Danio rerio: one gene and its partner. The main gene of each other region encodes a partner of the protein of the gene in region 2 in a complex. Links are inferred from orthologs where the notes say so. Each region holds a gene or a part of one and is shown on either strand. Other genes may lie near its edges.

What was found. The genes of interacting proteins can lie anywhere in the genome.
Region 1: the proteins of morf4l1 (region 2) and sin3b are in contact, whole or in part, in a cryo-EM structure (PDB 8BPA), measured with the Homo sapiens proteins. The link is inferred for Danio rerio from reciprocal best matches to the Homo sapiens genes MORF4L1 and SIN3B. Residues at the interface, in NP_996670.1 of Homo sapiens: Gln217, Gln219, Tyr222, Ser348, Tyr350, Glu351, Val352, Ala353, Pro354, Pro355, Tyr357, His358; in NP_056075.1 of Homo sapiens: Cys394, Arg396, Arg402, Ala403, Pro405, Lys406, Thr407, Tyr408, Ser462, Phe463, Pro464.

Annotation. Positions count from the first base shown.
Region 1 is NC_133183.1:15,981,041-15,984,700, reverse strand, and holds part of sin3b (paired amphipathic helix protein Sin3b), read left to right. Parts: intron 1-2,464; coding exon 2,465-3,155; intron 3,156-3,660.
Region 2 is NC_133193.1:21,425,143-21,428,802, reverse strand, and holds part of morf4l1 (mortality factor 4-like protein 1), read right to left. Parts: intron 3,193-3,660; coding exon 3,125-3,192; intron 2,759-3,124; coding exon 2,672-2,758; intron 2,511-2,671; coding exon 2,430-2,510; intron 2,277-2,429; coding exon 2,251-2,276; intron 2,047-2,250; coding exon 1,958-2,046; intron 152-1,957; coding exon 50-151; intron 1-49. UniProt on the Homo sapiens protein: Component of the NuA4 histone acetyltransferase (HAT) complex which is involved in transcriptional activation of select genes principally by acetylation of nucleosomal histones H4 and H2A.

The DNA.
Region 1 (3,660 bases), on a different chromosome or scaffold from region 2:
TAGTGCATGTGATATAATACATTACATAGAAGGTTGCGCGGTGGCACAGTGAGTAGCACTGTCGCCTGACAGCAAGAAGGTTGCTGGTTCGAGCCCCGACTGGGTTCTCCCCATGTTGGCGTGGGTTTCCTCCGGGTGCTCCGGTTTCCCCCACATTCCAAACACATGCAATACAGGTGAATTGTGTAAGCTAAAATGTCCCTATTGTATGTGTGTGAGAGAGAGTGTATGGATGTTTCCCAGTGCTGGGTAGCAGCTGGAAGGGCATCCACTGCGTAAAACATATGCTGGATAAATTGGTGGTTCATTCCACTGTGGCAACCCCAGATTGATAAAGGGATTTAGCCGAAAAGAAATGAATGAATGATTATGGATAGAAGATGTTGAAAGATGTTTAATATCTCTGCCTCTGCTGATTTCACTTTTGTAAACATTATACAGTATCACTTTGTTTTATCTGCAGCACCACTGACTGTAAAACGCTTCCACAAAGAACAAGTTTTTTTTTTTCTTTTGACTGGTGGAGGACCAAGAAATGGCTCAGCAGCAGTCTCACTCTTTTTCTATTCGGGTGCCCAAATGTATTTGAGGAGTTTCAAGTTAATAAAAAGTGACGGGAAGCTATGCTAAGGTTAACTAGCCTATAGCATATATCTTGCTGTCTGCAAAAGACAGTAATTTAGACGTACCATATAACTCCCATAAGTGCATACTATTCGACACAACTGCAAAAGCATCGTTTTAACCTTTATAAAAGAACGTTAACGTTACTCTGTCAACAGTCTATTGTCTAAATTACAGCGCTAACAGAGCTAACGTTGCGTAAACAGAGCACCCGGTTGCAGACGTCAATAATGCAGCGTAATAGAATATCCCGATTAAACTCCGCTTCAACTCCGCTACAAGTTTACAAATAAACTGCCTTTGGAACCCAATTAAGGTACAAAAATCTATTTAACAAAAGTAGTGATGCAGTGAAGTATTTTTTTCGCTCAGCCGAGCCTTCTGTCTGTTGCTGTGGAGAAGCTTGTGCCAGACACCTCCGCCCCGCCCTCCGACTACTGACTGAGCGTGTCTCTCTCTCTCTCTCTCTCTCTCTCACTCACTCACGCGGGCATGCACTGTGGTCTCATGAGGAAACGCTGCTTTTTGATATAGTGTTTTTCTTGCTCCCGAATAAAAATAATTTTTCAAGTATTTGTTCGAATCAAGTATTCGTAAAAACACACCATTCGTGCCTTTCCGAATACCGTATTCGGGTTCGGCTCCACCCTTAATATATATATATATTAAAATATATGCAAATTTTACGTTATATTGCTCAAATGGACAATTGAAAATTAATCAGATGATGTCATTACGCTGCTGTGCCGTCAGCCAATCGTTGCATTGCTGATCATAATTATGCAGATCGATAGATCTGTTCTTCAACACACACAGCAATCTCAGATCAGTTCATCCTGACATTTTAATCTGATTCACAAACTTGTTTGAAGAACCAAATTAGCCAGAGACCAGTTATCAAAATGAACAGATCCAAGATCTGCCAAATCATCTTAGATCATTTAAGCGAGGTACGAAGTACAGACATTAGGTCTGGAAAATGGGGAGGATGAGTAAATAATGACAAAATGTTCATTTTTGGGTGATTCATCCTTTTAATTTATGCTTGCTTGTTTCACTTTCACTCTTATTTTACCCATTTGCCAAATTTCACAGCTAGTCAAAGCCTCTTTTATAACAAACTTGTGTCGATGGTGTTAAATGCCACAAAAGCTCAAATTAACACTTAATTAAAGCCAAGTTAAATTATACCTGTCCTATATTGTTACCAGTGTTGGGTAGAATGACTTATTAAAGTAAACTATTACAATCTTAAGTCACTTTTTAAAAAAAGTAACTAAATGTGTTACTCAGTTTTTTCTTAAGGGAAGTGATGTGAAAGTATGTGTAATGATTTTTTTAAGAGTAAGATAGTCTTAAGGTTGTACTATATTACTTTAAAAGTAACTATCACACACTGATTGTTACTATGGACCCTTTTCACTGGTATGAGACATTTAACGGTCATCAGCGCCTTACATTCATTAACGTTTTTAATATTTAGAACATAAACTTATGAACATTTATGTGCATTTACGTATGTATTGTATCTTTGCATCAAATTACGAAAAACAAATTACCTCTAATGTGAGGCATTTGAAATACAACTTGTATGGGGGCAGAACAGTAAATTTGAGTTTGTTTCCTTTTTTTGAAAGTTTTAACACTATCGTCAAGTTTTTCTCTTATTGTTTCAGCAAGTAGGTTTGTAAAAAAAAAGTATTTGTTGTACTGTCCACTTCACTGCGCTCTAACTTCACCCAACTATGATGACTTCCTATACTGAGAAACCATTCACGTTTGTTGTTACAAAAGTCTTTAATGTCATGCTTACTAGCGCTTTCTTTTTCCCTCTGCACAGCGGCAGGAGCAGAGCACAGAAGAGGGCAGCGTGGGCCAGCAAGGCCGTGACGGCACGAGCACAGCGTCAACCAGCGAACCCCACATGATCTTTAACTATGAGGACAAACAGATCCTGGAGGACGCCGCTTCCCTCATCATCTACCACGTCAAGCGGCAGCCCACCATCCACAAGGACGACAAGGACCACATCAAGCGCATCATCCAGCACTTCGCCCCAGACCTCTTCTTCGCCCGTCGTGGAGAGCTTAGCGAGACTGAGGAGTTCACGGATGAGGAGGGCGAGGGGGAAGACGGTGCGGCCGCAGGAGGTGGAGTGTCATCCACAGGACAACAACAGCTGAACGGCGAGTCCAGAAGACGACGATGCACTTCTCCTCAAAGCATGGACACGTCAACAGTGGCCCACAGCATTAATCCCGAAGGAGAGGCGGTGGATCTGAGGGACCCAGAGGCTGAGCATCAGAAGGAGATGGATGGGGTCTACAACTTGTTCTTCGTCAATAATAACTGGTATTTCTTCCTGCGGCTGCACCAGACTCTGTGCTCGCGGCTGCTGAAGATTTACAGGCAGGCCGAGAGACAGTTGCTGGAGCACCGGGCCGAACAGAACCGGGAACGGCTACTCATGGGAGAGGGACGCAGGGAAAAGGCAAACGACCTGGCCATGGAGCTCCGTCTAAAGCAGCCGAGTGAGTTTTTCTTTCTGAAATTTGCACAAATCAGCACGCAAGCATGATGACTGCAAATGTAATACAGTGGTCCCTTGTTATTCACAGGAGTTGCATTATAAAAATAGCCTGCAATAGGCAAAATTGGCCAAGTAGTCAGCTTTATTATTTTTTTTCAATTATTATAGATGTTTCAAGGCTGTAAAACACCTTATGCACTTTTCTCAGACAGGCATTAACATTTTCAAACTTTTCACTCTTGTTTGAATGCTCTCGAAGTTCAAACCATCGGGAAAAAAAAAAAAGTCCAGTTTAGAAAAATTAAACCAAAAATCAAAGCCATTCCGTAATGATACCCTACAGCCTCGTAACTTCTACCTTCCTTTAGCATGTCCAGAAGTTCAACTTTTTGTGCGATGCTTAGCATCTTCCTTTGCCTTTTTGGTGCGACCGCAGGTGCCGTTGACCATGCAGAACTTTTTCGTCGATATTGTGTAGAGAAAATTTGTAAACATACAGTATAGCA
Region 2 (3,660 bases):
GGAAAGCAGGAATTGGATTACGCTAAGAATGAAATGAGGCTTTATTTACCTGCTTCTGTCTCGTAATCAGGTCCCAGTCATCAACCAGCCATGGTTTTAATTCTTCAGGAATTTTTACTTTTACTTCTACTCTGTTGATAAAAGTCTCCTCCTGCACACAAAACCAGCAAGGCCATCAAAAACAGCCTCACTCTTAGCATCTGTTAAGACCCTTCTTTGGAGAAAATCATGTTTTTAATATTGTTTACTTGTCAATCTTGTCAATATGTGTAAAAGACAAACCATGCATTAGGTATATTCTCCATTTACCTACCACCACAAGCATGTAAAAAAAAAAAAAAAAACAAGTCTTACATATGCCATATTCACTTATTTATTGTTCAAAGAATCTAATATGTTACTAGGTACAGTATCCGTGTATTATGGCAAACCGAACAGGTTTTTGTAAAATTAGCAACACATTCTTAATGGTTTATTATATGTTGTGTGGGGCTGATTTGCAAATGTATGATTGTCATTATTTGCTCACCCTGGTGTTGTTGCAATGCAGCATGTCTGTTTTTCTTTTTCAGAACACAAAAAAAAATAGGGTATTAAAAAAAGAAACTGCGAGTTCATGATGTTCTAAGATAAGCATACAAGTGAAGTGACAGGTCTAATAAATCGTTTCATAAAACATAAAAAGCATCATCTTGACATGTATTCTCTTATTATCCCTTAAGCATGAAACGTTTTAAGTTAATAAGTTGATGTGTATATATATGTATATATATATATGTGTGTGTGTATATATATATATATATATATATATATATATATATATATATATATATATATATATATATATATATATATATATATATATATATATATATATATGTGTATGTATGTATGTATGTATGTATGTATGTATGTATGTATATATATATATATATATATATATATATATATATATATATATATATATATATATATATATATATATTAGTTATTTATTTATTTATTTTATTTTTTTTACAAATTAAGGAGATATCATTCGAGATTTGGCATTTCCACACTAGTTTCTCATGCAATACTTTAAAATGTGTATTTGCTACAAACACAACAGGTATATTCACCTCAGAAAGGGGCATATATTGTATTTTAATCCACATTTCATGTCAATTATTAAATATGTGTACGCTTTTTCCAGCCATAATTATGCTTTAGTTTAATGCTTGATGCTGGTCGGTATTCACTAGCTATATTTCCATCCACCAATTTAATGAGTATTTTGGATACGCACGTAAAAAATGGTTGATGGAAAACGCCAAGATTCGCATCAAATTTGAAAATGTGCATAAAAAAAACATGCACATAACGGAGTAGGATAAACTTTTTATTCAATAAGAAAAATTGCACATAAATTACTATCTAAACACTTCATTGCATGTCAGCATTTGCTTCTGAGACGCAAGTAATTGATTAAATAAAGAAAAGATTGACGCAGCTTTTCCTACTGCAGCAAATTCCGTTTTTAATGTTGATATTTGGCAACAGTTAATCAGGAAGTGACAATTTTGTTCTCTTTGACTCATTGAATGAAAATTCTTCTTTATTTGTACATCTTTTATGCGATATTTCAGTTTTTCACGTACATTTAAATCCTGACTTTAGATAAAAACATAGCTACTGTCTGTATATGAATGGACAGAGCAGGGTTTTTCTCTCTCCTTTGCTGGTTCATAAGGGTATTTGGCATTACAACAACACAAGGGTGAGTACATTTTTGTGTGAAGCATCACTTTAGGGCATGAAAAAATATTTCATACACGCATACAACAAAAAAAAAGCAAATATGTCTTTTTGATTATACAACATGCATTTTAAGAGGGTAAAAACGCTTTCCTGGGGGGAAATAAAATGAGTAAGTCTCTAAATATTGACCATTGGCTTTTAAAGATTAGAAGTGACATACGCTCTCCACAGTCGGGTCAACACGTGCCCTCTTCTTGCGTGGGGGGTGAGGCATGTCCCCAGTGCTAGTGCCCTCTCCAGCCCCTGGCGCTGAGAAGCAAACAACACACAGATTCTTATCAGTAACAGTCAATAACGAAGCTACAGTGAAAAATGTATTAATGTGATTACATCTTTGTTAACAAACACTACATCTTGACAGATTTGAGAAATTATTGACATTTAATTAACATTAATCCAACATTTCTGACAGGTTGCAAGGCATCAGTATTTGTAAAGAGAATTGAAACTTACTCTTTTGCTTGTTCTTCTTTGTTTTTCTAGTGAAATGAATAGAAAGCCCTTGGTTAAAAATGCACCAGTAAACATGAGTTTGCAGTTTTGACAGCTCATTTTAAAAATTCTTGATGAAGCAAGAAGCTGAGTGCAGTCGAGGGCAATTCAACCCTACGAGCAAACAAAGTAACACTCACACATCTACATTTTTTTGCTGCACAGCAGCGATTTTCTTGCTCGGTGCGACACCCCTCATCCTTCCCTCAACATAATGGTCTCTGAAAAACAGTGTGTTCTGCATTAATTCTTCTCTCATCAAATAGATAAACATGCATCACAGATTGTATAAAATCGGTCTATTGAAATAGCAATGAAACAGAATAATAAAGAGAGGCATAAAGCACTTCCAGTGGCATTTAATTAAACTTCTTTCACTCACTGATTTGCCTTCTGAAGCTCTTTCTGTTTCTGCAGGTTACTGTCCACATATTTGAGCACACGGCTTTCAGGAACCCATTCGTCCCAGCTAGAAACACATTGATCACACTTTCTTAAAATAAATCATTAAAAATAAGTCACTTGTAGACTACATTTACAATTTCAACTGGTATAGACCATTTCAATGTGGTCATGTAATCGGCCCATGAACATTTTCTGCTTATCAAACCTTTTCCTAACTGTAACAAGTGGCAACTCAATCATAACTTAATATTAAAACAGCTATCATATGTGGTTGTTTTTGGATTCTCGGCAGCTAAAGAAATTAAAAATGTAAAACAGGAAATACGTTGGAACCATTGTTTTTGTTCACATCACTCAAAATGGTCTATAACCTGTGTAGTAAACAACAAATCAATGCAATTAAGTGAGCATTTTAAATACACAGACTTACTTCTTATTCCATCCACTGTAATGAATAAAGTATTTCACTTGTTTGTCCTTGATATTGATTTTTACACACTGTAAAACATAAAAAAATACATGATTAATGAATCATCTTTCTGACATCTTTGGAGAAACAACATTTAAACTATCTTTCACAAACAAAAAGAAAATATCATGATGGCAATATTGCCCAAAGGTATAGCTCTTTAATAAAAATCTAAATAGGAATAAAATAAAAATCATTTAGTAAAAGGAAAAACCTAAAATTACACAAAGTTAACCCTCAACTGCACGCATCATGATAGCTCTATAAAAAAAAAAAGTATTTGACTGTTTTTCTTTTCTTGGATTGGCTTAACTTGAAGTGCTGCAAAAAAGATCTGGGGAAATGAGAAGTTGAGGTACTTTATGATATGCTGCGATATGACAACAACATCCATTAGTGGATCTAACTTTATTTAAAATGTAGAACTTTCCTTATGAATTATAATTTTGTTGTTTGAAATTATTTAATTGGTGTTGCAGAGTTAAAAGCTTTAACAC